Linked DNA regions of Ovis aries. The protein of the gene in region 2 interacts with the protein of the main gene of each other region in a pairwise test. Links are inferred from orthologs where the notes say so. Each region holds a gene or a part of one and is shown on either strand. Other genes may lie near its edges. The genes, in order: CD99L2, SGTA, LAT, GAL, F11R, SDC4 and antileukoproteinase-like.

The links.
Region 1: the proteins of SGTA (region 2) and CD99L2 interact in binary tests that used the Homo sapiens proteins (3 or more experiments, as listed by UniProt). The two-hybrid records come from large-scale screens. The link is inferred for Ovis aries from reciprocal best matches to the Homo sapiens genes SGTA and CD99L2.
Region 3: the proteins of SGTA (region 2) and LAT interact in binary tests that used the Homo sapiens proteins (3 or more experiments, as listed by UniProt). The two-hybrid records come from large-scale screens. The link is inferred for Ovis aries from reciprocal best matches to the Homo sapiens genes SGTA and LAT.
Region 4: the proteins of SGTA (region 2) and GAL interact in binary tests that used the Homo sapiens proteins (3 or more experiments, as listed by UniProt). The two-hybrid records come from large-scale screens. The link is inferred for Ovis aries from reciprocal best matches to the Homo sapiens genes SGTA and GAL.
Region 5: the proteins of SGTA (region 2) and F11R interact in binary tests that used the Homo sapiens proteins (3 or more experiments, as listed by UniProt). The two-hybrid records come from large-scale screens. The link is inferred for Ovis aries from reciprocal best matches to the Homo sapiens genes SGTA and F11R.
Region 6: the proteins of SGTA (region 2) and SDC4 interact in binary tests that used the Homo sapiens proteins (3 or more experiments, as listed by UniProt). The two-hybrid records come from large-scale screens. The link is inferred for Ovis aries from reciprocal best matches to the Homo sapiens genes SGTA and SDC4.
Region 7: the proteins of SGTA (region 2) and antileukoproteinase-like interact in binary tests that used the Homo sapiens proteins (3 or more experiments, as listed by UniProt). The two-hybrid records come from large-scale screens. The link is inferred for Ovis aries from reciprocal best matches to the Homo sapiens genes SGTA and SLPI.

Annotation. Positions count from the first base shown.
Region 1 is NC_056080.1:84,661,270-84,665,391, forward strand, and holds the start of CD99L2 (CD99 antigen-like protein 2), read left to right. Parts: upstream 1-1,180; 5' UTR 1,181-1,247; coding exon 1,248-1,314; intron 1,315-4,122. UniProt on the Homo sapiens protein: Plays a role in a late step of leukocyte extravasation helping cells to overcome the endothelial basement membrane. Acts at the same site as, but independently of, PECAM1.
Region 2 is NC_056058.1:18,712,460-18,715,347, reverse strand, and holds the end of SGTA (small glutamine-rich tetratricopeptide repeat-containing protein alpha), read right to left. Parts: intron 2,146-2,888; coding exon 2,056-2,145; intron 1,867-2,055; coding exon 1,752-1,866; 3' UTR 519-1,751; downstream 1-518. UniProt on the Homo sapiens protein: Co-chaperone that binds misfolded and hydrophobic patches-containing client proteins in the cytosol. Mediates their targeting to the endoplasmic reticulum but also regulates their sorting to the proteasome when targeting fails.
Region 3 is NC_056077.1:26,377,456-26,381,542, reverse strand, and holds the start of LAT (linker for activation of T-cells family member 1), read left to right. Parts: upstream 1-1,230; 5' UTR 1,231-1,540; coding exon 1,541-1,643; intron 1,644-1,759; coding exon 1,760-1,865; intron 1,866-1,991; coding exon 1,992-2,026; intron 2,027-2,282; coding exon 2,283-2,352; intron 2,353-2,472; coding exon 2,473-2,537; intron 2,538-2,628; coding exon 2,629-2,806; intron 2,807-2,876; coding exon 2,877-2,977; intron 2,978-4,087. Other genes in the region: SPNS1 (protein spinster homolog 1), read left to right, coding at 1-63, 343-437. UniProt on the Homo sapiens protein: Required for TCR (T-cell antigen receptor)- and pre-TCR-mediated signaling, both in mature T-cells and during their development.
Region 4 is NC_056074.1:42,496,154-42,499,550, reverse strand, and holds the end of GAL (galanin), read right to left. Parts: intron 2,218-3,397; coding exon 2,131-2,217; intron 1,847-2,130; coding exon 1,769-1,846; intron 843-1,768; coding exon 772-842; 3' UTR 590-771; downstream 1-589. UniProt on the Homo sapiens protein: Endocrine hormone of the central and peripheral nervous systems that binds and activates the G protein-coupled receptors GALR1, GALR2, and GALR3.
Region 5 is NC_056054.1:112,481,081-112,485,506, forward strand, and holds the start of F11R (junctional adhesion molecule A), read right to left. Parts: upstream 2,815-4,426; 5' UTR 2,735-2,814; coding exon 2,674-2,734; intron 1-2,673. UniProt on the Homo sapiens protein: Seems to play a role in epithelial tight junction formation. Appears early in primordial forms of cell junctions and recruits PARD3.
Region 6 is NC_056066.1:73,576,626-73,580,285, forward strand, and holds part of SDC4 (syndecan-4), read right to left. Parts: intron 893-3,660; coding exon 754-892; intron 1-753. UniProt on the Homo sapiens protein: Cell surface proteoglycan which regulates exosome biogenesis in concert with SDCBP and PDCD6IP.
Region 7 is NC_056066.1:73,486,963-73,491,401, reverse strand, and holds antileukoproteinase-like, read right to left. Parts: upstream 2,941-4,439; 5' UTR 2,808-2,940; coding exon 2,693-2,807; intron 1,850-2,692; coding exon 1,688-1,849; intron 1,267-1,687; coding exon 1,123-1,266; intron 366-1,122; coding exon 337-365; 3' UTR 109-336; downstream 1-108.

The DNA.
Region 1 (4,122 bases), on a different chromosome or scaffold from region 2:
GCTGCAGCTGGCATTTTGCTGTGACAGTCAGGGTAGGAATCTGATTTCGCCTGGTCCTGGAGATGGACTCTGTTTGAGGGGTTCATTGGAAAGGAACGCGGCGCGTGTGTCGATCACTGAGCACATTTACAGATCGCCGCTGCAGATGTGAACTGGCGCTTTCAGTGCATTCATCAAAGCCTCGGGGAGCTGACCCTGGCCCTCTTTCGTCCCCGGGGCCCGCGGCGCTCTGGCTGCAGGTCGCCCCTCAACTTCCCTCTAGCCTGAACCTGCGGCCCCCGGCCTCAGGCTCATTTCCTCAAGACGTGCCGCTGTTTGCCAGCCATCAAAACGGGTTTTTTTTTTTTTTTTTTCCCATCTCTGGGCAGGGCTCTACTGCAGGATCAGCCAAGTCTGAGTGCAGCCATGGTTCTGACAAGCAAGTTCGGCCAAGGTGACAGGGGCAGGAGCGCGGGTGCCCGGTCCTGGCGCCGCAGCTGGAGGGACCCCCAGGGAACAGCTCTTGACCGGGAGGACACCAAGGCCACAAGGGGAAGAGCCCTGTCCAAGGTCACCAGGCTGGCAGAACGCACCAGGTTCGTGCGCCGCCTCGGGTCCAGCTTCTGACCCTGGAGGTGTCCCGCGCGCCAGGTGGAAATCACTGCACACCTTCGCTGCCGGCGCCTCCGGCTCCCCAGTCACTTAAAAAAAATTTTTTTTATTAATTAATTTTAATTGGAGTCCCCATCACTTTTTTTTTCTTTTTTTTTTTTTCCCAGTCACTTTTGACTCACAGCTCCAGGGCCGCAGGGCCCACCTCCAAGACTTCCTTCTCGAGGGCGGGGTGTGACTGGGCCCGCAAGTCGCGCGCCGGCGCTGGCCAGGACCCAGACCGTTCAACCTGCTGGTGCCCGCGGACCACGCCCCTCAAGCGCCAGCACCGCCCGCAGGCTGCGGCCCCGCCCCCCGCGCCGCCGTCCCGCCCCCGAGGCTGCAGGCTCGCCCCGCCCCTCGTGCCACAGTCGCGGTCCCGCCCCACCTCACCGGTCCGGCACGCCCTGGCGCCAGAGCTCGTGCGCGCCCCCATCCGCCCTCTCAGGGCCGCGCCGCGCGCGCGCGGCGCTTTTGGGCGGGGCCCTGCAGTGAGGGGAGGGCTCCTCCCCTTTCTGCTCCTCCTCCTCCTCCTTCCCCGCTCCTCCCCGACCTTCCCTCTCGGGCTCTCTCGCGCTCACTGTGCTCCTCTGGGCCCTGTCCGCCGGCTCCCAGCCATGGTGGCCTGGCGCTGGGCGTGCCTCATCTGCCTCGCTTTCTCCTTGGCCACACTTGTCCAGAGAGGTAAGGCGGGCCGGGGGCACGCGGGGTCCCCGCCCTGTAGGCCGGCGGGGCTGGGGGCCGGTGCCCCAAGGGCCCGGTGGTGCGCATGAGCGGCGCGGCCCCCGCGTGAGGGCCGTCTGCGGAGGCCGCCGGGGGGCAGGCGGGGCCGTGCGGCACGTTGGGTTAGAACTGCGAGTAGAGGGCCGACCCTGCTGTGACCCCTGTGGTGGGTGGGAAGAGACCCGGACCCTTCCTGGTGCCCGGCTACAGAGAGCGATAGCGTCCCCCCTTAAAATCCTGAACAGGGTTTCTCCACCAGTGACAACAGCTGTCCCCGGGAGATTGCCGTTGGGAAAACGAAGAGAGCACTCGTTCCCTTGAGCAAGGCTTCTCCAAAGGTGTTTCTAGGCCACCTGCAGCAGAAGCACCCGAGGAGCCTCTGGGGCTCACTCCTACTTTGTCAGGATCTTGGCGGGGATGGGGGTGGACGGGGAACGGCGGTGTGGAAGTCCAACGAGCCCCCGCAGCTGCTTCTGGCACCCCTTCCAGTTTTCGAGCCACTGGTGATGTTTTCTCCAGGAGAAGGAGAGAGCAAGTCTACCAGATCAAGAAAGCAAGTTCCAAGACCCGCAGCATCATCATCTGGGACTAGTGAGGGATGCCGCATCCCAGGCCCCGCCCCTGACCTGCTGAGTCAGATTCTGCTTTTACTACCTCCCCAGGTCACAGGCACATTCAAGTTTGACAAGCATCTTAGAATAAATGCAGTCTGTGGCTAAAAATAGGGTCGCCAAGGAGTCCCAGCAAAATGTTCTTAGCTTGCTTATCTCATTTCCTCTTCAGAAAAAGAGGTTGAGGAAAACATTGGAGTTGAGCGCAGAATTGTGCTCTGAGCTCTCCTGACACAAGGGCAGATTTAGCTAGTGAAAAACACATGAGCTCAGCAAAAACAAAATCGTGTCCTATAACTGCATTCTAGTGTGGGTTATTTTATTATAAGGAACACTGGGAAACAGTAGACAGTCCAAGGCAGTTTTGCAAAAGATGCAGAAATGTTTCTCATGTGGTCAACCCTCCTGGAGTCTAGAAAAGAAGGACCATTCAGCATTCTACAAAGGTGCCATTCTAGACACGGATGCTGCAGCAGTGGACGAACTTCAGGCTCTGTCCTTGTGGAGCTGACATCTTGGTGGGGGAGAAAATGAGCACAGACTGATCATAGTCTATATACTATGTTGTCAGCACAGTGAAGCAAAACAAAGCAGGTTACAGGGTTGTTGACTTTTCTTCCATTTTTTTCTTTGGAGTTACAATTTTTATTTTGCTTATGATCCATTTGTGGCAAAAAAAAAAAGTTTGATCACTTGATTGACATGCATCTAATGATATGGAACAGTTGGAAGTGGAAGCCCAAAAAAGTTAGAAAACGGATACTGCCTTCAAGGCTGTCTTCTGCAAGTCTTCAACATGGTAGGCACTTTGAGAAGATGAGGAATTTAAGTGATCGGGTCTCAGGTTTTCACCATCATGGGTTACACTGGGTGATTTATAGAGTGGTGGAGGAAATTGCGAAGGGGTGCAGCCAGCTTACAGAGGAAGAAGCAGAGGCACACAGGTGAAGTAACTTGCCTCAGGTGGCAGAGCTGAAATTTGATTCCAGGCTGTCTAATTCCAGTTCTTGCTTTTAAGCGCTAGGCATAATGCCTTTACACCTGGAGGTGGCCCTCCTACGCCTTACTGGCCAAGTGCCCTTGGGAAAGCCAGAACGTGACTTGGTTTGCTCATCCAGTTTCACATACAGACACACGCTTTAACTGCCCCAGGAGTTTGGCTTCTTAGGTACTATCCCCACTTACCAGACACACACACTCTCTCTCTTTAACTGCCCCAGGAGTTTGGCTTCTTAGGTACTATCCCCACTTACCAGATGAGAGGCCCCTGGAGACCCAGGATCACACCCATTTAGGATGGCCTCCTAGTGATCTTTTTACATTTCAATTAACGCTGAACCAGAACGATCTTTTGCTTCAAGGTAGGGACTCAGTTTCCTGGTTCTTTTGTGCAGATCAAGGTGACAAATCTGGGTTTTGCATTGGTGGTTCCCTCGGGGGATCCGAGCACTTTCAGAGCTGGTCTCAGGTCCCCACTGACTCTCCGGAAGCCCCAAAGTGGTGGATCAGGTGTGCCTGTCCAAGAGCCATTTTCTTCTTGGTCCTCAGTAATGAAGTGTGACTTAGAGAGCCCGGCAGGACTCAGAAAATGCTCAGAACCTCGAAGCAATGTGTGAAATCCTTCCAGGCTCTGGCATGTCAAGACAGACTTTAGGCTCCCAGGAGTTGAGAAGGCGGTTAAGGCATTCCTGTTAGTCCACTGTGTATTTTACTAGTTTTGAAAAATTGAGGACAGGTATGTCACCTGTCTGTACCGACAGAAATGGGAAGCTGTGCTTTTGACTTTCTGGGAGAAGGATCTCAATGGTACAGGTGGGTGACAATCGCACAAGAGCTCCACTCCCTCTGTGTCTTCCACGTGCCAGGCCCTTAGTGCCTCACTCATTTACATTTCCTAACTACCCCCACAGTGGCTGTTTGCATACAGCCTTGAAAAGTAACTGAGTGGTAACCCATAGCTTGGATGAAAAACACGTGGTCCAGAAAGGTTTTGGACTTGAACTCAGGTTTATCTGCATAAGCAAAGGAGGGATTGTAAATGCAGATATACCCAGGGATGGAGCACGTCCTAGAAATGTGAGACGTGGTGAAGAATTTATGATGAACGTGTTGGCAGATAGCCAAGTGCCTGCTACCTTAAAGAAAGGTAGCCCAGGGA
Region 2 (2,888 bases):
GGACAGACTCTTCCCCCTGAACTTCCTTTGTGACCTACTGGCCACCATCCAAGTGGCAGGGAACATGGGGAGGTCCTCAGCAGGACAGAGCAGCTCAAGGTCACCAGAGGCTGAGTACACCCACTGGAAGCCACAGAGGTCACGGCCAAAGAAAGTGGTATGGCCCCAAAGCATTCCCACAGCCCAGCGACCCGGGGGAGTCGAGTGCAGGCCTGACACCCCCTGCACCTACACCACACGTCAGCCTCTGGACAGGGAGTGAGCCAGACCCATCCACACCTGGATTTAGCCCAAGGGGGTCCCCAGTCTGACTTCTGGCCTCCAGGATGGAGACACTGTGTGTAGTTAAAGGCCACCAAATTTGTGAGATTGTCTTCAAGGTGACAGGGAAGGCACACACAACCTGGGTCAATGGTTCAGGGTGACCCATGCAGGGTCCACACTGGGGGTTCCAGGAAGCTCTGGGAGGTGAGGGGGTGGGGGCAGAGTGGCACTGAGAGGTCCACATGGAGGCCAGCAGAGATCACGATGTCTATTTATTCCCCACACGTTATCTCGTCATCATGGTAGCACTCATGAGTTAGGACGCCTTGTGGGATGTGTGTGGGGCTGTCTCTACGAGTTACCTACACACACGGTACTGGTACGGTGTCACCTCCCACAGGACCCGACACCATCAGGGAGCCTCCAGCGATCTCATCACCAACACTGTGGCCCGAGCTGCGGTGCCAGGGACCCTCTCCACCCTGCCCTGGGCTGCAGGGACATCCACAGTGGCTGCCCGGTGATCTCAGGCCCAGGCAGGTGGTCATCAGGGACCCCCATAGCCCTGACCCCCAAGCAGGAGGAGAGCCCGCTGAGGATGCAGGCAAGCCAGGCCAGCAGGACCACCACCTGTGGACAGAAGGCAGTGGCTGGGATACACAGCCAGGCTGCGACAGGCTCAGGAGCCAGCTCAAAGGTCATGAGAAGGCCCCTCACAGTCTGTCAATTGTAAGCACTGGGAAAAGCATGGCGATCAGACCCGAGTCCATCCGAGCACTGGACTGGAATTTAAGTCCCAGAAATGGGTTGTGTGCACCCAAGACGTCTGCTTCGGCCCCCGCTGGGCGCAGAAACTGCCTCTGGGGCACTTGCAACTGGAGTTCCTTGTCTGAGAACCCAGGTCTGCTGGGCCGGGCTGGCTGGCAGTGAGCTCGCTTGAGCAGGGGTGGCCAGGGAGGCCACGGTCAACTCAGAAAGCGGCTTCTCGGGGGCTGGGAGGCCCTGCAGACAGACTGGGAAGGCAGGCGGGGGCTGAAGAAGGGGCTTCGGGGCCACGGCATCCCACAGGCCACTTCTCGGAGAGCGGTGAGAAGACCACCCCCACCTCAGAATGTTCTAGAAAATACTTTAGTGACCAGGTCTTCAGGGCAGGGGGCCAGGAGGGAGACGGGTGCTGGTCTGCACTCACAGCTTGCTGGCTCTGTTTCAAGAAGGATCTGGGGGCCGTGAGAGAGTATAAAAAGGGAGGGAGGGGAGGAAGTAAAAGTAAACATCATAAAAATCCGGCTTAACATGCAGGTCCAAGTTCTTTTTCTCTCGTGGGCGATCCAATGGGAGGAGACGGAAAAGGTCAAGAAGGCTTCCTGTAGGCCGGGAAGGACCCGATGGCGCTGGGCAGGCTGGAGGGAGAAACACCTGAGTGGGCCCACCCGGCAAGAGACCTGAGGGCCCAAGGTGCCCCCCAGCTCCGGGGACTCACGGGGCGGTCACTCCTGTTGGTCATCATTGCTGGCACTGGGAGTCCGACTCCTGATCTGACTGCGGAGCTGCTCTATCAACTCTGGGTTCTGTTGCTGCATCTGCTGAGCGAACTGCTGGCCCCTGCAGGTGGGGGCAGGGGAGGCGTGCCTGGGCTCAGCCAGGTCCAAGGCACCCACCCAGCCGCCTCTCCCTACCTGACGTGCCCCTGGAGGGCAGAGGGACCACTCCCTGGAGGATGAGGCCCCACAGAGCACCCGGGGACCTTGGACCCTGCCCCACCCAGGAGCCCCACCTGGCAGGTCTACTCACGCCTGGATGAGACTGGCCAGGTCATTCTGCGAGGGGCTGGTGCCGGGAGTCCCCAGGGGGTTGTGGCCGCCTGAAATCATGCCGGACATGCTGCAAAGAGAGTCCTGGACTTGAAGACGGCTCAGCCCCCTTTTCCCGCTGCGGCCCTGCTTGACCCTTCCCCCCTGCTGGCAAGAGACATTACCTGGGACCCAAGTCCCCCTGAGCCCACCCTTCTGACTGTAACCTGTCAATTTCACCAACTTTCCCAGGAACATCCATTTTTGACTTAAAAACAGTGATTCTCAGTGGGGCAGTGCTGCCCCCCAGGGACACCGGGGCATGCCAGTGACACATAAGACCGTAGAATTTCTGAGTCCACTGATGTGGAAACACCGTCAGGCCGATCCACAGACGGGTGACTGGTAGTCAGGAGCTGGGAGACAACGATATTGGGGGTGGGGCTTCATTTTGGGGTGATGGACGTTCTGGAATTAGATTGTAGTGACCAACTACAGGACATTATAAGCGTACTAAATGCCATGGGACTACGGACCTTAAAATGGCTAAAACAGGAAACTGTATACATCTTTTACCACAATAATTTTTAACCACAAGGTCCAAAGAAGAGAGGACTTCCCTAGTGGTCCAGTAGTTAAGAATTTGCCTTGCAATCCAGGATTTGTAGGTTCAATCCCTGCTGGGGAACTAAGATCCCACATGCCATGGAGCAACTAAGCTCACGCACTGCAGCTACTGAGCTCGCATGGAACAACTAAGAGTCCACACACTGTGATGAAGATCCTGAGTGCTGCAACTAAGACCATAGCCAAAGAAATATTTCAAAAAGACCC
Region 3 (4,087 bases), on a different chromosome or scaffold from region 2:
CCTTCCTGGGCACCGCCATCTTCATCGAGAGCGACCGCCGGCAGGCTCAGCTGCACGTGCAGGGTCGGTCGGGCCTCCCCTCTGTCAGTCCACAGTTCCCTGTCTAGCTTCATGATGCTGCCTGCTTGTCTGTCTGTCTGCCCGCCCAGCCCTGTGTACCTGGCCTCTCTCAGTCCTCAGCCCTCCCCTTCCTCGGCTTCAGGGCTGCCTGACCCATGAGCTCATGCCCTGCTGTGTGCCCATCAATGCTGCCCTGTCCATTTGCCACTGCTTGTTCGTCCCCTTCCTGGGCCTGTGTCTGTCTGTCCATCCAGCCCTGGCTCTGATTCTCTTCCCTGGCAGGTCTGTTGCCTGAAACCGGGCCCACCGATGACCGGATTGTGGTGCCCCAGCGAGGACGCTCCACCCGGGTCCCTGTGTCCAGTGTGCTTATCTGAGGGATCACCGCTTGCTATCTGCAGACCTATCACAGCTGGCCCTGGGCCCACCCCAGGAGGTGCCCAGGCCCCAACTCCTCGGCTAGCCCGTTTTCCGGGAGGGGCCTTGGGCCGTGTTCCAGCTCCCACACACTACATGGGTAGCCAAGTGGGGACACTGGGGGCTCGGGACGGGGGAGCCCCTGCCCCTGGAGCAGCCCTGGGGGCTCGGTGCTATTTGTAACTGAATAAAATTTGTAGCCAGAACCCCAAGTGCCTGCTGGAGTCTCTCTGGGTTAGGGACCTCTGATCTCTGGATGGTGGGGGATGCCCCCTCTCTACCCCCAGGGTCCCAGCGGCTGTCGGGTGACCCCCGTGGGCCCTGGGGCAAAGCCCTGTCCTTCTGGGCCGGTGAGCATTGGGGTGGAGTGAGCTGGCTTTGTGTGACCGTGAGTCATGCCCGTGTCTCCCCTAGAGCCCGCCCTCCGCAGGCCAGCCAGGGCGAGGTGGGGGTGGGCACACCCAGGGGCCCCTCAGAATTCCCGGTGTCGGAGCCTCTCTTTGCTGCCTCCGTGAGCCACAGCTGTGGAGGCCGCGGCCACTGACTGGCCTGGAAGCATCTTTCCCTCCTCACCCCCGCTATGAGTTGCCCCTTGCCAGGGAGACCAGCTGACCCTTCTGGAGGGCCCAGGGTGGCTCCTGAGGTGGCCTCCTCCCCCTCCTCACTGGCTGAGTGGGGGTGGGAAGGGGGCGGGTGCAGCTGGCTGAGCCCCGATGATTTCCTGCCCTCACCCGGCGCTCACCACAGCTTCCTGCCACAGGCAGGCAGGCGCTGAGGAGAGGCGGGCGCGGAGCGAGGGGCAGGTAGGGCTGGGGCACAGGGTCTGTGTAGGGGTGGCTGGTGCCCCAGACTCCAGCCCAGACCCTGGCCTGACCACCCTGGGGTCCAGGGTCTTCCAGAGCCAGCGCTGACACCCGCTCAGCCCAGCGAGGGGAGGGGATCCAGAGGAACCCCTGCCTTCAGGCTCTCAGCCGGCCGCCGGTACCCTTCCCGGCCTGGCCCTTGCCCGCTGCTTCTCTGTGTGGAGGGGTGTGCAGCGAGCAGCTGGGCCTGGTCCAAGCAGATGGAGGCGGTCAGCCTGCCTGTCTACGTGCTGGGGCCCCTGCTGCTGCCTCTCTTGGCCGTGTTGCTGATGGCTCTGTGTGTCCGTTGCCGGGAGCTGCCAGGTGAGTGGGTGCCAGTGGGTTGACCAGATGCCCAGACACACTGCTAGGGATCCTCACTCCATTCTCTGACCTCTTCCTTCCCTTTAACTGTCTGTAACTCTTTCTTGCACGCGGAGACGCTGAGAGCCCCATACTCCATCACCCTCTGCCCTCGTCACCCTCTTTTCCTGCCTCACGGGCCCTCTCTTCCCCAGGCTCATACGACACTGCCGTCTCCGATAGGTGAGTCTGCCTTGTCGACCCCGTTCGACTCCCTCAATGCCCCGTGTGGGGCTGGGCCCCTGGGGGCCTGGGGTGGGGTCCAGGGCCTCTCCCAGCTGCTGACCTGAGCTCTGTCTCTCCTGCCAGTTTGACCCCAAGTAGCATCATGATCAAACTGCCTCGTGAGTACATGAGTGTCCCCTCCCTTGGGTGCGGGGAGAGGGTCCCCTGGCCTGGGAGAGCGTGTGCTTTTGTTCATTTCCCCGCTGTGGCCGCCCACATGGCCTGAGCTGGGGGTGGGGAGGGAGATCGTGTCTGCCCGCCCAGGACTCTCCAGGGCCCTGGGGGTGGCAGGGGTCAGTCTGCCTTTCGAGGCCTTGTCCAGGGTAGGGGTGTGAGGTGTGGAGTCATTCCTTCAGCTTGGTCCTGTGTCCTCAGCCACACTCGTCCCACGACCATCGACCACTCCCTACCCGCTCCCGAGCCAGCCAGACCTGCTCCCCATCCCGTAAGTACCAAATCCCCTCTTTAACCCCTCACCTCCTTGGATTGGGGGCCTCTTGCCCTGTTGCAAGCCCTCTCCCCCTAGAGCCCCACCCTAGTATGACCTCTGACCTTTGACGCCCAGAAGGTCCCCGCAGCCCCTCGGAGGCTCCCACCGTATGGCGTCGTCCCGGCAGGACTCAGATAGCGGTAAGCCTGGAGCGGGACCCACAGGGCTGGGACCACTGGGTAAAGGCCCCCTCCGAGCTGACTCAGTCTCCCTCTTGCGTTCTCTCTGCAGCCAACAGCGTGGCCAGCTACGAGAACGAGGGTGTGACTGGGACCCCTGTGGCCCCGGCTGGGAGGCGGCTGAGACCCGTCCTGGGCTCCGCTGACCCTGTGTCGTTACCCCCAGAGGCAGCCTGTGAGGATGCGGATGAAGATGACTATGACGAAGACTATAACAATGAGGGCTACTTGTGAGTGGCCAGGTGGGAGGTGGGGGCCGAGGCCAGGGCTCCTCGCTCACCTGACCCTTGACTCCCGCAGGGTGGTGCTTCCTGACAGGGACCCGGCCACCAGCACTGGCAACGCCGTCTCACAGGCTCCTGCGCCCAGCAAACCCGGCCTCCGAGACAGCGCCTTCTCCAGTGAGTCGGCCGTCTGACCACTCCCTGCCCCTCCGTGCTGCGGCTCCTCGGTCTTCCCTCTCCTCCTGGATCCTTGCGCCCCTCCATCTTCTCGCTTCTCTCTTTCTAGCCCTCCTGTCCTTCAGCTAGGGGACTTCCGGCTCCGATCTTCTTTTCTTTTCTCTCCTCTTCCCTCTTGATCGTTTGCCTTTTTGTCTGCAAGATTTCCTTGACTCTATTCTTCTTTGGGCTCCGAGCTTTTGTCTTTCTTGTCCAAAAGCTCTTTCTTCATCTCTGAATATTCCTTTCTCAGAGCCTCCTCTCTTGTCTTATGAAGGTGATATCATCTTGCAGATCTCGAAGGATAGTGATGATCAGCTGTCTTTTTTGGGTTTCTTTGGAAAGTTTTCTTCTGCTTCCAGTGTTGTTTCAGTTTCCTTTGGGCTACTTTTCGCTCTTCGTTTTGGTTTCATCCTGCCTCTTGGAGGCTTTTATCAGTGTCTTGTGATCTTCAGTGTCCGTTACTCTTTTCCTTCTATGCTTGCTCTGTGCCATCGTGTCCACACCCTGGCTTAATTTGCCATCCGCATCATCCCTAACTCATGGCCTCTCTCTTGGGCCCCAAACCATCTGTCCAAGTGCTTATTTTCATTCATTCATTCACTCACTCATGTTCGTCCATCTACTCACACAATTCAGCCATCATACTTACTGGTTGCCCCTGAAATAATCACTGCTAATGAGTCTGAGTGAACTCCGGGATATGGTGATGAATAGGGAGGCCTGGCGTGCTGCGATTCATGGGGTTGCAAAAAGTCGGACACGACTGAGCGACTGAACTGAACTGAACTGAATGAGAAAAAGTCATGATTAAAGCAGCTCGCATTACTGAGGACCTCATACATTCGCAGCTAAAGAGTTTTATGTGTATTTGTTGTTGTTATCTAGTCACTAAGTCATGTCTGACTCTTTTGCAACCCTGTGGACTGTAGCCCAGCAGGCTCCTCTGTCCACGGGATTTCCCAGGCAAGAATCCTAGAGCGTGTTGCCATTTCCTTCTCTGGGGGATCTTCCCAACCAACTTATTAATATTAAACCTCACAATTCCCAGGGGCTTTTGAGCTTCTCCCT
Region 4 (3,397 bases), on a different chromosome or scaffold from region 2:
CTGGCTTCGCGGCGTCGCCTGTTTCCTTCTTGGGTCTTCGGTAGGGGGACCAAGACTTCTACCCTCAGTCCCCACGTGCTGTCCTTAACTCAGCATCAGCCTAGCACACCTCCTGATCCAAAGAAAGGCTGCCGTGCTTCGGACGGTGGCCTCCTGACCCACCACGTGACTCGCGCTGCCCTGTCGGTCCCCACCTCGCGCGGCCCGGCACCGCCGCCCCTCGCCACCCTGCACCCCCTGACCCTCACGCCCGCCTCCACGCCACTCCTCCCCCTCAGGCTCGGGGCTGCTGTGGCCGTTCCCATCTGCCCATATCAGCCGCAGGAGGGCAGGGCTCTGTTTGTGGTTTTGTCTGTCTCAGAAACAAACTTGCCTTCATAATTATCTTTGACTCAGCTTCATGTTAAGACAACTTTGTTCCCTAAACATGAGTGACAACAGAAGGTGTCTGAGATACTCTAGATGGTGGAATTTGAGGGTAAAGGTTTTATCTAATACCCGTGATTATAAACAAGCATCATCCTTTAAAAACACATTGGTGGCAGTGGTGACAAGCCAGACACCTGGAAGGAAATGATCATCACAAGCCATTGCTGTTTTTTTTTTTTTTTTTTTAATTTTGCCACTCAAACTTATGACCAAAGGGAAAGAACCTGAAATGGCAAGGACACAGCATCAGGGCAGCGGGGATGGGGCGGCTGCCATGTGACGGGCACCCTCGCGGGGCACGACTGCGCGTGACAGGGGAGCCCGACACGCGCGGGAGCCCGCTCAGGACCGCTCGGCGTCTCCTGCGGACTCTGCTGTGGGGAGACCGGGCAGGTGCTCCAGGACCCCGGCGTCTGCAAGGGGAAGGGCCACACTCAGATCCCCCCGCATCAAGCCCGGCATCAGGCACGCGCCACAGTTAACCCCCACACTGGGCATGCATTTAGGTAACAAAAGTCAGTGTCCCCTAAGGAGAGAAGCTCCATGCGGCAGCATTCCAAACAGAGCAGATAGACCCATAAGGTCAGTCTGCCCTTGCTGGGAGAGTCACCCGTTTCCTCCACAGAGGTCTCCCCAGAGGCTCCACTGGGCTCTGGGTTCTGAGGTTTCCCAGTCCTTCTCCCACAGCCCCGCTGCCCACGGATGGTTCTGAGGGAAAGCTGCAAGCTTAAATCGCCCCCCAAAACTCCTCCCCCGCTAAGCCCTCCTAAAAGCAGTGGAGCCTGAGAGCAAGTGGATCAAGACAGAACCCAGAAAGCGTCGTCACTCTTCCAACTAGACAAAACGGGGACAGCCCTGGTGCCACCCTTGGAGGTCCCGGTGGTGACCTCTCAGAGCCCCTTCCACAGGACGGGTTTGATTAAGGCCAGACAGTCACTGGGGCAAGAGCGGCAGTCACAAGCACAGAAGTGCTGAGGTTGGATGGGCCACGGGGAGGCCCCCTCATCTGCAGTGTCCATGGAAGAGCCTAGATCCCAGGCCACAGAGCTATGGGGGTCAAACGCAGCCTGCCCCCCAGGAGACTGCCCGCGGTGAAAATGCAACCAGGACCCTGGGCTCCAGGTGGTCTGCGGAGAGCCTGGCTGTGTGTAGTGACTGCGGCCCCACGTCCAGGAGTCTGGGTCCACAGCACAAACGAACCCAGCCCCGGCCTTGTCACTGCTCCCGCCAGCGTGACTAGGTGTGAGGTAGACCCGGCTCCTCCCCAGGAGAAGTCCATGGAATCTTTTCTCCACAGGCTTCCAAGAGGTGGGGTTTCCCCTTGGGGTACTTCACGTACCTTTGAGATGCAGGAAAGTCAAAAACTCAATTATCGTGCGCACGACGTTGTTATCCGCCAGCGGTCTGTCAAAGCTTCCTAGAAACCAGAGGGGGCAGGGTTGACGACCGGGGTGCCCGTCCTAGACCTGGGCACCTGGGGGCACCACCGGGACGCCCCTCCCTCCTTCCAGAGCCCGGTTCAGCTCAGGGCAGGCCCTGAGACCCCGTGGCTGCCCCAGGATCTTACTCCCAGGTTTGGGGCGCCTCGTTCTGGCGGCTGACAGATCTTGTGGGGCCCAGCTCAGGCTCGGTTGTGAATCGGGCGGGCAGGAGACCAATACCCCCACGGCCCTGCGTGCCCTGGGATTAAAGTCCCCTCACCTGGCCGGGCTTCGTCTTCAGGCTCGAGTCCCCGCTTGCCGGCGAGGCCATGCTTGTCGTGAAGTGACCTGTGGTTGTCGATGGCATCTGTCGGCAAACCAGGGAGGAAAGCACCTGAGCGTGGTCGCCGTGACAGGACACACGGCTGCTTACCGCCAACCCGCAACACAGCCAGAGCGCACAAACCAAGCGCGGCAGGGGCGCCGTGGAAGGGGCAGGGCCACGCTCTGCGGAACCAGAGGACAGAGCCAGAGCCAGGGCGCCGCTCCCATCCAGGGGCTGGGGGCCCGCAGAGCCGGAGGGGAGCCGCCGGTCCAGACGGGGCCAGCATGCGCCTAGTGGAGGGCACTGGCTCCAGGCCTGGTCAGCGCGGGTGTGCCAACGGCGCCCCAGGGGGGCTGGCATTTGAACTGGGTGCCTCCCAGGCAGAGGACAGGGCCTGGGGTCCTATGTCCCTGAAAACAGGGGCAGGCGGAGCCACAGGATTTGCCCTTCTGATGAAAGCAGATTTTCTCTCTCTAAGACCACTGGCTGCTGTGAGGGAGACGGACTGGAGCCAGGGAGAGAGACAGGGTCAGAGAGGAGGAGGAGGAGGAGGGGGCGAGAGGGAAGGAGGGCGTGCGTGTGTGTGTATACACGTGAGTGCGTGCGTGTGCACGTGTCTACACGTGTGTGTGCGCACACGCATGCATGTTGGCTGGAGTGAAAAGCAGGAATGAGGTTGCAGGCAGAGAGACCCCCTAAGAAAGCACTGGACGGAGTTCCCTGGTAGACTTTGCGGTTTCACTGCTGAAAGCCCGGGTTCAATCCCTGGTCGGGGAACTCAGATCTCATAAACTGCAGAGTGTGACCAAAAAGAAAAAGTAAAATAAAAAGAACTGAAAAGAAAGAATGCAGACTCTGTGCCAAGCAGCCTGCAGTGAAGGGAAGGGCCTGACCTGGGGCCCTTCGGGGTAAAGGAGACCTGGGCCATGGTTTCTGGCTGCCGGGCCTGATGCACCAGGTCACCTCCAAGCCTGGGCAAGTGCGAACTAATGCATCTTCCCCCAGAGTCCTTGGCCTGCAGTGTGGAGGGATGACAAGCCCCCGGCGATTCAGGAGGCCACTGGGCGCCTCCAGGCTCAGACCGACCTCGGCAGCAAGCACAGTCTCGTGCTGACGACAGAAGCCGGGAGTACGGCGCGAAGTCTTAAGGGATTCTGACAAAGAGCTGGTCTAGATGGACAGCTTCTGCTGATCCAACTTGATGGTGAAAAACAGCTTGTTT
Region 5 (4,426 bases), on a different chromosome or scaffold from region 2:
AAACAGAAATGCCTCTTCCCGCCTAGGAGATAGCTGGAAACCTTTTTTAAGCACAGGCTCTCTAGGGGGAGGGAGGCCAGTATTCTTGGTCACCAGTTTTTCTTTTCCCAGGCCCAGCTCTCCCAGTGTTTACTCTCCAACCCTGTCCCAGCAGGTTCAGGCCTTCTTCTCCACTAGATTCCCCCGGCAGGAGGTGGGCCACTAGTTGATCTTTTCCTCTCCCTCCCTGATGACAGAGTCCACGTGAGGAGCAAGGACATGCAGGCATCCTATATAAGCTTCCACTATCCCAAGGGCAGAGGACAGACTAGACAGGCAAGAAAGCCCCCACTTTTTCACTCTAGCCATTTGGAATCTAGCAGGGTCCCTCCCTGCTTTCTCTGACCTGCTCTACTATGGGCAGCATTCTTTCACCCTCACAAAATCCAAAGGAGGGTAATAGCTGCCCACTAATAATCGCTTTCATGTATGTCATGTAGCTATTATCCCAGTTGATCCTCAGGATGAGGTTAGGACAAGTATTATTACTCCTGTAATACTCTTGTATTACAGATGAAAAGACTGAGTTACTAGACTATGGTCACAAATAAGCCAGAAAGTCAAGCCAGAACGCAGGTTGGGGGTGGCCTGGTTGTTATTTCCATTCTCACTGTGCTAACCAAATAGCATCTCCCAGGTCTAGCCCTATTTACATGTGACAAGGTCAGTTCCTCCATCTCCTGGACATGCTACTTCCCAGGATCCACTGTCCTGTCAAGCTAATACAATATCATCTCACATTCCCTGTAAACCACTGTTTATTGATTCCCTGAGCAGACTAGAGGGTATTCCCAAGCTCAGACGGGTGATATCACAAGGCTTTCAGTGTCAATCCGTGATAATATATTTTGGGGTTATTCTAGAAAATGAGGGGGGAAGAGGAAAAGGGAGAAGGAAGCAGTTCTAGGAGTCTTATAAGTCTGACAAATACTGTCACAAATACAGTTACTAACTCAGAAATTTCTAGGTTGGGAAGTGGGGGGATGAGTACAAGGGTTGACAGGGTTGTCAAAGTGTTTAGTACTGAGCACCACACCCAACAAGAAAATGACTCTGGGTGTCACTAGCAGTTCTAAGATACAGACAGAAGTAAATGGAGAAGAATGGGAAGGAAAGAATGGAAATTGAAGAAAGGGGGAAATGGAGGAGTAGAATGAAAGGGAGAAGTGAGAAAAGAAAGAATCTAGTGAGAAAGAAAAATTGAAAAAGGCAGGTGAGACAGTGGACTCTGGAGCAGTATCCCAAACTGATGTTTTGATATGCTGGTTCCTGTGTCACAGGCTGCCTGAGACAGGCCCAGGGGCAGAAAACAGAAGTGAGTCAGGAGACTTTGGTTCCAGTCCCAGGTCTTTTGGTCAGTCTTATCAAGTCATTTCCCCTCTTTGTACCTGTTTCCTGATCTGCACAATAGGGGGAGGGAGGATCTGACTTGTTACTGGTCCAGTCCATCCCAAGGGTTAATGTGTTTGTGACAAGAAACAAAGGAGTCGTCAATTCATCTGTCTAAGGGCACCCTTCACACTAAGCAAAATGAATTATCTTGTAACCAGCAATATTGGTCTTAATTGCTCATCTCTTCTACATTTCCTAAAATAGCGATCTTGAGGAGGAAATGGAGATTCTTACAGACCCCCTGCCGACACAACTATTCACGGTAGCACACACAGACACTCAAGAATCAGGTAAGGGTACAGGGGCTGACACAGGTAGACTAAGGCACAAACCATAAACTCAGTCAGGCGCAAGCACAACTATGGACCAGAGGCCTGCCCCAGCAAGTGAGCCTCATTGTTCCACAGGAAAGGGAGTTTACAGAGGAAACAAAAACTCTCAAACATGGCCAGGGGGGAGGGCAGAGTTCTGGCTCTGAGAAGGAACCAGCCAACCAAAAAACAGGACCTTCCCCTGGGAATGGTATCTCAGTCAACAACATTTACTAAGGATTCCTGAAGTAAGGTATGCTAGAAAGGAACTTGAATGCTGTGCTAAGAAATTTTAAATTTCAATTTTATGTATTGCCTTCCAAAAAAAAAAAGGTTTTGCAACTGGACACTTTTCCTGGAGCAACCATGCAACCCAGAAATTCGGGAAAAGCTAAAAAGACCCTTCAGCAACAGCCAGGGAAAGGGACTTCCACTCCAGTCGACCTCCATTAGATTTTCTCTGAGGACCCTTCAGGAGCAAAACATCCCAACAAAGTCAGGGGACAGGAGGCTCCCGACAGATTCCGGATGGTTCGCGGATGCTGGAGGGGCAGGATGGCCCTTCCCAGATGCGTGATCCTGGCTGGGCAGCGCCTCCGAGCCCACCAGCACTCACCAGCAGGTGAAAATGGAGGAAAGGGGAACCAAGCTTTCCCCGTTATTTTTGGTAAAACCGCGGAAGAGGCAGCTCCCTCCAAGTGGATATAAGAGAAGATCCTTATTCATAAGTGTGGGGGAGGGGAGCCGGCCACTCACCAGGGGAAGGGGGAAGGGAAAAAAGAGGGATGAGTCTAGGGTGGAAAAGAGGACTAGGAGGGTGAGCCGGACTGATTTCAGAACCCCTCCCTCTCGCGAGCCAGCGGTGTGAGGAGCGCCTCCCTCCAACCTCTGATCAGACGCACAGATTACTCCGAAAACTCCGGGAACTTACACAGGACCATCGACGTGAAGAGAAGCAACTCTGTACTGCCGACTTTCGCCTTTGTACCCATCACGATCAAGATCCCGATGCGACAGCAGTCACTGCGACACTAGAAACACACACAGCTTCGCCTGCAGCCGCGCGGGGACTAAACTCCAGACGCCAGGTTGAGCCCAGCCCGGCCCTTCCCTTCACGCCCGATTGGTCAGCGCCGCTCCTCTGCACTTTCCGATTGGTGGAGGGAGCCGCCGCTCCTCTGAGTGATTCACCGTCGCCAGGTGCAGTCCCGCCCACTATTCCCTGTGAGGCGGATTGGAGCCTTTCCAAGCCCGATCCGCCCCTGATTGGGCTAGGAGACTGTCGCGTACGGAGACCCAGGCCTCACCTTCTGCAGGTGAGGACTCTCTGATTGGGCGGCGTTCCTGAAGTAGGGACTTTACGACTGGCTAGGTTCTGAACTGGAGCCGGAAGGTTAGAGGAACACCTTGAAGAAGGTGGTCGGGAAGGTAGTTGTTCTGTGAGACGCGAGAGAGAGAGGCCTGCTTTTGTTTGTTCGTTGTAATGCTTTGTTTATTCGGAATGTAAGTTGGAGCTGCAGAAATCTTGGTCCAGTCCTTTATCAAGTGAAAACCACGTGTATTAATATGTGAGGGTCGGGAGAGAAGGCCCTCAAAGTGTGTTCCTCTGTCCGCTCCACTGGCAGGATTCAAGGCTGCGTTAGAGGAGGAAAGGGAAAGGAGAGGGGAATGAAGCGCTCAGTTCAGTAGTGGGAAGGGCAGAATCGAATCACCAAACACACCCAGATAATACAAACTGACCTACTGACGCTCTATAAACATCACTGTGAGTGACTGTGGGTATGTCCTTTACACATGTGTAATCAGTCAGCAGAGGTCTGCATTTCAGTAGTACTTATCTTCTCACTATGGATAATTGCATGCCTGCTAAACTCTCTTTCTATAGGCTATGTTGATACTGTTAATATTTATATTGCTACATCGTTTTTATTTGAAACCCATTCTCAACAGCTAATATTTTACAACAATTTTACATTGTGATCGTAATACTTTTTTTTTTTTTTTTTAACTTTTTGACTGCGCAAGGCTGGATCTTACTTCCAGATCAGCAATTAAACCCACGCCCCCTGGGAAGTCCCTATTTTTTTCTTAGTATATCCAGGTTGCCCGTGGGAAAACTTCCGGAACTTTATCTCACTGCAAGTAAGAAGTCCATAGTGAAGTGAAGTCCTTCACTCGTGTCCGACTCTTTGCGACCCCATGGATTGTGGCCTACCAGGCTTCTCTGTCCATATGATTTTCCAGGCAAGAGTACTGGAGTGGATTGCCGTTTCCTTCTCCAGGGGATGTTCCCCACCCAGGGCTCAAGACCCGTCTCCAGCATTGTAGGCAGATGCTTTTACCGTCTGAGCCCCCAGGGAAGTCCATTACGTGAACATGAAGTCACTCAGTCGTGTCCAACTCTTTTCGAGTCCCCATGGATTGTAGCCTACCAGGCTCCTCTGTCCATGGGATTTTCCAGGCAATAGTACTGGAGTGAATTGCCATTTCCTTCTCCAAGGGACCTTCCCAACCCAGGGATCGAACCCGGGTCTCCCGCATCGTAGACAGACGCTTTACCATCTGAGCCACCGGGGAAGTCCATACTTGTATCCAAAACAGTGGTATTTTTTGACCTTTTGCTCTGTCATCTTTGTCCCATTCCTTTGGGCCAAAAGTTCTCTTCACGTTTCAGCCAACTTAAA
Region 6 (3,660 bases), on a different chromosome or scaffold from region 2:
TTTAACAAGATTCCCAGGGGATTCATTTGAGAAGACTCTAGATTGCAACAGTAAATATCAGAAATTCCAATATGAATGTATTTACTCAGAACATGGTAAGTGCCCAGGGCTTTTAACTCAGTCTAATTTTCTATTCCCATGTTACAGATTAGGACACCAAGGCTCAGAGGTCACAGAGCGGCAGTTTGAACTCAGGATTATGTGACTCCAGAACTCAAACTTCACATTGTTATACCACCCCACACAGAGGAGGGAGGCTTTTCAGTAGCTCTGTCTGGCCTGGCAGCCAGGGCCAGGAAATGACCAAGAAAGACGGGGACCCTGGCCCGGCCCCAGGAGGCCCCTTCACTGATTCCCAATCCCATCCTCGCAGAAGCAGGGGTTGGTTCTCGGTTCCCTCCCACAGCTCTCCTCACCCTGCCCCCAGGCTCCTGAGCGCTCTCTTTGCTTTTCAAAGGAAGGAAAACAGGCCACAGTTCAGTTCTCCTCCCAACGCCCACTCCCACCCAATCCCGTCCAAAGGCGGACAGGTTCGGACTGGTTTTCTACTACAAATGGACTCGGAGCAAGAAACCATTCGCCTGGAAAGGGTCTCAGGGATGGGTTGATCCGGTTACTTTTGTTCACCCCATCTTTTTTTTTAACGGGGAGGGGCACAATAGGAAAATTCAAGCCCCAAAGTGGGGTCAACCTTGTAAAAGACAAGTTCTCTGCAGCCTTGAGCCCCAGGCCGGCCCCCTCCTCCTTCCGTACCTAGATCTCCAGAGCCAGACAGCTCAAAGTCATCGGATTCCTGCCCGGGCCCCCCGATGTCCTCGTCATCAGGTAAGTCTCCGGAAAAGTATCGGCCTTCCAGGAGGTCTTGAGGGTCGATGACCTCAGTTTCTCGGATCTAGGGTGAGAACAGGAGACACGTTAACCAGCAGCTCCCCCTGCCAATGCTCTTTAGCAGCCCCCGAGCCCCGCAAGGCAGTGAAGCGAGTGCTCAGGAACGGGAGCTGGGGTGCTGGAAGGGCATCAGGCTAGAGCCTACCTTGCTGTGTGACCTTAGACAAAACCCTTTCCCATTCTGGGCTAATTAAAATAATGAAGGTGGCATCATCAGAATATAAATATGCTAGGTACCCTATACTGAGCACTTGCTATAGGCCAGGACCTGCTCTTAATAACTCTAAAGACCAGTCTTCACCTGTTTTACAACCGAGGAAACTGGGCCCTGAAGATACTAAGTCATTTTCTTTGGGTGACTCGTGGGAGCAGACGGAGTGAAGACTGACTTCAGAGCCAGCGTTCCCAGTCCACGCTCCGGGGTGCTCTGATGCTGTCATTGCTGATTCACCCACGGCAGGGAGAGGGCTGCTGGCTCTGGTTTTGCCCTGACCCGGACATCTTTCCCAGCTGAGTCAGACCAGGCTGGGACAGGCAGGGCTGGCTCACTCACGTCCCAGGACAGCCTCGGGTCAGGGCGCTGCCCGGAACCTGGTGAGTCAAGTGTACGTGAGCACACTCGTGTCTTCAGCCTTCCAAACATCTCCCACGGGGCCATTCTGCAGCCATGCAGTGTGGAGCCCCATCCCTGCTCTCATGGACTGTCCACTCCAGCTCCCCTAAGTACCCCTCCGCTGCCACGAATGGGGGCCCCAGCCGTCCCCAGCTAGAATCTCAGGTCCACCGCCACTGAGTAGCTTTCACAAGGAAAGCATGAAAGATCCAGGAAGGCAAAGAGCTGCCCCAGGACCTCCAGAACATCAGCCACCCTGCTCCCAAACCTGCAAATTCGACCGGGGAAAACAAAGCTCCTTCTAGAGAGTCAGAAATACTTGGGATTCACACCACCCTCTCAGCTAGCTTCTGGGCTGAGGCTTTGTCTGCCCATAACAGCAGCCCCAGGGCAAAGTTCATTCTTTCACTAATGAACTCAAATATTCTAGTGCCTACCATTTCCCAGAAGACTCAGGGTGGTGAATACAAACCCCTTGCCCCAAACATTCTTCTCCCCCCTCAACCCCCTAACTACAGGAGGTGTGGAGAGGGGCGGGGTCTGCTCAGAACCGAGGAACACCAGCTGGAGGCCAGGGAGGTCCTGCCCTCCCATTTCACAGAAAGGGAAAGAATCTAAGCTTCCTACAGTGACCTGCCTAAGGTCACACGGTGAGTCAGCTACACACTCAGAAAAGAAGCCAGGCTCTGTTTCTGACTGCCCCACGCTGTCCTCCACCCAGCAGAGACCTGCCAGGGACAGAGAGTGGGCCTGGAAAGGCACATCCGTCCCTAAGACAAGGTTACCCTCTGTGGGAGAGGCCCAGGCTTCCGGGGAGAGGTGGGTGGAAGCAGACTTTTGGGTCTCCTTCCACCCTGTCTGTCTGTCTGTGTGGGGCAGCTGGATTCCCGGGAGGGAGGTCAGGCTGGGAGCGAGATTTCTCCCCTCCCACCACGGAAGGGAGAATCTCCGCTGAACGCCTGGTACACATGGGGGTGGGGAGCGAGAAGGGGTTAAGCCCTGGTGAGGGATGACTTCATGACTCGGGAATCAGGAGCTGGGGAGCTGCTGGCGCTGGAATTCCAGCCCCCACACAGCCCCTTGCCTGTGGCTTTAGTTTGGCAGCTCCAGAAGATGGCTCCACTGTGGTTGCGCAAGCTGCCTGCACCTAGGGCGGGGTCCCTGTGCTCCCATCCGCATCTCCTGCTGCAAATTCCCCCGGGGGAGGTGGTAAGGGTGGGGGGCAGAATCGGAAACATCAGGATCTAGGCAGCTTACCAAACTAAGCACTTAGCTTGAAGTAGGTCCTCCTCATAGCTCTTATTTGCTGAAACACTGAGGAGGGAGGGGGTTGGGGGGATGCTCAGAAAATTGAAGTAACTCGCTCAAGATCACCCAGGCAGAAAGTGGCCACTCTGGACCGGAACCCAGGCATAGGTCACCCGAGCCTTTAGCCACATACAGATCCACACACCCATAAACACACGGGCACACAGAGTGTCCGCCTACCTCGGCCAGGATGGAGCCTTGTCAAATGGCGGTCAAACTCAGCCCAGGAAGTAAAGAAGGCAGTTTGGCCACTTGCGTATGGAGCCTGGAGACCAGTCAGAGCTCCAAGTACTCAAGACAGGGGCTGGAGTTTCGACACTGGGCTGTTTCAGGCTGGGCCCTTCCCCTACCTCCCCATCCCCAAGAGCCATGGCTGTTTATTTATGGATCCTTCCTTTCTCTTAGTGGGTGAAAGTACTGAGGAGTGTTTCAAAACCACCCCTGGGATTAGCACGTTGATTCGCTGTGATTGGTAGTGGCTCTCTCTGTTTTACATCAGGAAGTGAAGACCAAGTCAGAACAAAACTCGGACTGAAACCTAGATCGATTCCCAGTTCAGCCACCTTGGGGGTCACCGGGTCATCGCTAACTCTTCATTATTTTAAATCTATTTTTTAATTGTGGGAAAATTGCTTCACAATGTTGTGCTGGTTTCTGCCATCCAACAATGCGAATCAGCCACAATTATACATATATCTTCTCCCTCTGAGTCTCCCTGCTCTCCCCAACTACAACCCTTCATTTTTATACTAGCTTCCTGGAGAGCATAAATGACTTGAATTAAGGTCATGCCAAGAATGGTTCAGATCCTGTCAGATCTAGTCACACAAGGGTTAGATGCCATTGGGTAC
Region 7 (4,439 bases), on a different chromosome or scaffold from region 2:
TTGCTATTTTATGGGTTTTTGGAGAAACCCCGCACATTCAGACATTTTATTCTTCATCTCACTCCTCATACCCTAGTCCACATTCAAAAGAGTCAAGGAAGATGGAAATGCAGAGAAAACCTAGTACATTTATTTATTCACTGATCAATAGGCATTTCCTGTCGTGTGCCAAGCTTCACATTGGATGCTGGGGATACATAGATAAAACAGGCCAGATCTTGTCCCCAAAGGAGTATTGGTCACAAAACCACATCTTGACCAAGGTGCTTTCATTGTTTTCCAGGCTTGCAGGGTGGGGAGTAGGGGGAATCCCCAGAGCACACAGACCAGGAAGTCCTAATGTTTTTGACCTGGAAAGGATGAATCTGTAGAAAGAAAATAAAGTGGAGCTTCAGCACAGGAATTATTTAAGTGACCCTTATATCTGTCCCACCAAGATGGTCCTTCCACCACCAAGTCCTAGGTCCCTTGGGATAGGTAGAGAGCATTGTGCTGGAATCATTGAAACAGTGCTGGCCTTTGATGTAGGAATCAAGACAAAATCCAGGCTTTTCACAGGCTCTTCTCTGATGCCCTCTGATAAAATCAGGGTATTGGGCTAGATTGACATCTATGCATCTTGCTAGAGTTCCCCTGTGGTTCAAGATAACTCAGCCAATCGAGGCCATAACCATAGCAAAATTCTCTGAATGCAAATAGTACTTCAAGTCTTAAAAATCACTTTTACATTTAGTATCGCTATGGATATAATTGTGTCCATTTTACAGATGGGGAAACTGAGGTGGAGGATGAAATAGTCAGTTGCTCATAGTCACATAGTCAGTCAGAGGCAGAGATGATATTCAAAGATAGAACTTTTGCCTCTTGTATCACTCTCCTTCCTCCTGCCTTATTCCAAGAAGCTTTCCTTCCTAGGACCCAGCACGGCCTGTCATAGGTGCCTCCTGGGACTTGTCTAGAGAAATCTAAGGGGTAAAGGTCACTGAAGCGCAGAGCATCTGCTTAGGGAATGGGGAAGTACTGGAAGATGTCAAGCAACCTCTTTCACATACAAAGGTACCATTAGGTTGAGAGCATATTAAGGTCCAGGGGGATGCGGAGCTTGCTAGATCTTCTCCTCACCTTTCACCGGCAGGACACATGAATTCCCACACGGACCCCTGCAGCACTTGAAACCATTCAGGCAGTGGCTGTCATCCTGGCAGATGTTTACAGGGTTGGGCCTCTCACAGTGGCCAGTGACCACCGGACACTTCCCAGGAGTGACTTTAAGTGATGAAAACAAAGTCACAATTCAGAGGCTTCGCCCCTTGGCACATCACCCAAATTCCCAACTCCATCTTCACCCCATGCGTGGAAACTGGTTCTTCCCTACCTTCAGGATCCAATCTGAGGCTGGTGCGTGTCCTAAAGAAGACTCCCTCCCACCAACGGGACCCCAACTAGTGTCTGACATACGTGTGTCTGATAGACAGACTATTCATGAACTGACTGACCTGCTGGCTGACAGGCTCACCAGCTGGCCTACTGTCTACCTGAGAAAACAGAGCGGGTAGAAGGGGTGGAGAAGCCCTGACTCTATCCCATCCTGCACCCCAGTTCAGACGAGCCCCCTCCACTTGCCCAAGAAGCATGTCCTCAAGCTCAGACCTCCCTGATCCCCCTTTCCAGGACTGGACTTCCTCACCTGGCTTTGACGTGTCTACAGGATCCGTGCATTTGATGCCACAAAGACCCTGGCAGCATTTCTGCCTCTTCGGACACTGCCAGTCACTCTGGCACTCAGGCGGTTCATATACAAAGCACAGCACAGGGCGGACGAAAGGACAGGCTCCAGGTTTGCCTTTTTCTGAAGGGTAAGAACAAAGGAGGAAGAAGCTGGCACTGAGTCAAGATCACAATCCTCCAGAAGGAACCAGGTGAGGAGAGAAAGCCTAACCCAAGTAGCTGACCTCAAAGGAATGAAGGGAGCCATTAGGATTCCAGTTTCAAGGCCGATGTGGGACAGTGGCAAGCTCAGCCAAACCCTCAACCAAGAGGGAGTCAACGGGAGAGAAGGTATAGATGGCGGTGTGCCACTAAATCTTTCAAGAGGGAGACTTTGTGGAGTTTGCCAGTTTCCCTGGTGTAAATATTCCCACTGTTCCTTATTTCAAGCTACCAATGTGACATCTACTACCTCACAGAAGTCTTGAAGATTTCACAGTCAGCTACGGCATGTCTGTATAAGTCAGCTCCAGGGAGGGCTGAACAGAGTTCATGGCCAGGTATCCCTGGCCCAGGGCTGGCTGGGAGGGAGGCAGAGACAGTGACAGCAAGAGAGGCCACTCATTTGAGATTAAACAAAAGAGAACAGATCAACTGAGAAGCAAATAGAAAAAAATAGTGACCATTAACAACAACAACAACAAAATTAAGAGAAACAGAGAACAATTTGGAAAATTAAAACAGATAGTGACCAAAATAATGTGACAGAGAAAAAAGAAAAAACAGTAAAGAAGGAGATATAGAGAAAGAAAAATAAGAAATACAAGGGCTTATCTCTGGATGCACAGAAACTCTCTTAGTTGAAGTCCTCAGAGACATGCTTGAAATTAAGGACCATAGGCCATTGGAAAGAGGGCTTCAAGACCAGCCCCCAGGCGAAAAAGAAGAGATTATTCCCACGCTGAGCCATCATTGACTTTGGTACCTGGGTATGGCCTGAGAAAGTCCAGCTCACGTTTGGGAGCACCTTCCACAGTCCAGGGCATCAGGAATCCGAAGGCAAATATCACCAGGAGGATGATAAGGCTGCTGGACTTCATCTTGAGGGCAGGCGGGGCGGTGGTGACCAGTGTCAGCCTCACCCTTTATACCCGCTCTGATGGGTGTGCTCCCACCGGAACTGCCCTGAGTTCTCTCAGCTGCTATTTCCTCAGCAGGAAATTCAGGTGAGGACAGTGACCACGCCATCCAGTGTTGCTGGCTCTTTCCTGCCCTTAGGCAAGAGCGTGAGGACTAGGAAGGGGAATGAAGGACTTGGAGGGGGTGGTGTCAGAAAGCCGCTTGGGAACATGTTAGGGGACCCTGAATCACCCTCCTTGGGGAGGAGTCGGGGAGGGGCAAAGAGGGCCAAACGGGACATTACAAAGGAACTTGTTAGAAATCTGGAACCATGGTCTCTGAAAATGCCATGACTTTCCCACACTCCAGGGCTCTGGAGGATTGCCACATTTGTTACCACATTACCCAGGGTCACTCCCTTCCCTAAAAGGCAGGTGACATTTTTTCTCATTCTCTCCTGGCTTACTACCACATATAATTGCAGTGCCAGTCACACAGAGAATCTGCTGAATGACAGGTGGAGAGGGGACAGCAAGGAAAACCTCTTGGGTCTTCAGCTTTCTCAGTTGTGAAGTCGGGATAATAGTAACGGACTAGATCACAGAGGGGGAACTTGAGTTCAAAAGAGTGGAAGGAAGTTGAAGAAGAATGAACACACTACCTGTTAGCAGAATGGGAGTGAGACTGATGCAAAGTCAATCACGTTGGAGCCCTGTTTCCTGAGATAAACCGATGGGGCTCTTCTTAGCAGTCAGTTGAAGAGCCAGTTGAAACAGGTATGTCATTTCATATGCTCAAAAAAATCCTCTCACACCCCAGAGTCATCCTCACTGGTCTTGCATGATCATAATGGACATTTATTGTACACTGGCTACATGATGAGAAGTTTAAACAATTCTAAATAGCAAAAGAAATCCTCTTAAGGTGAAACCAAGAAAAAAAATGCATGAAATACACAAAGTAGAATGTAGGAAAGGAAAATAAGAGAGTCCTCATGATGATGGTGACAGAAAATCCCAGAGTGAGACCTGAGTGCCAGAACAAACTAGAGGTTATGTGGGGAGAAGGAAGCTGGGAGGGACAATACAGGGGTAGGGGACTAAGTGTGCGTGCTAAGTCATTTCAGTTGTGTCTGACTCTTTGTAACCTGTAGACTGTAGCCCGCTAGGCTCCATCTATCTATAGGATTCTCCAGGCAAGAATATGGGAGTGGGTTGCCATACCCTTGTTCAAAGGATCTTCCCAACCCAGGAATCAAATCTGTGTCTCTTTCATCTCCTGCAAGGGCAGGCAAATTCTTTGCCATTAGTGCCACCAGGAAACCCAGGGGGACTAAGAGGTACAAACTATTATGTATAAAATAAGCTGCAAGGATATATTGCACAACCTGAGGGATAGAGCCAATATTTTACTATAACTATAAATGGAGTATAACCCTTAAAATGTCAGTCACTATATAATATGCCTGTAACATATAATATTTTATATCAACTCTACATCGACACAAAAATTTTAAGAAAGCATTGCACATTTGCTACTTCAAAAAGAAAAAAAGAAAAAAGAAAAAAAACGGAACTACCAGACCAGATTGGAGAGGGTCAGAGGGCCCCAGG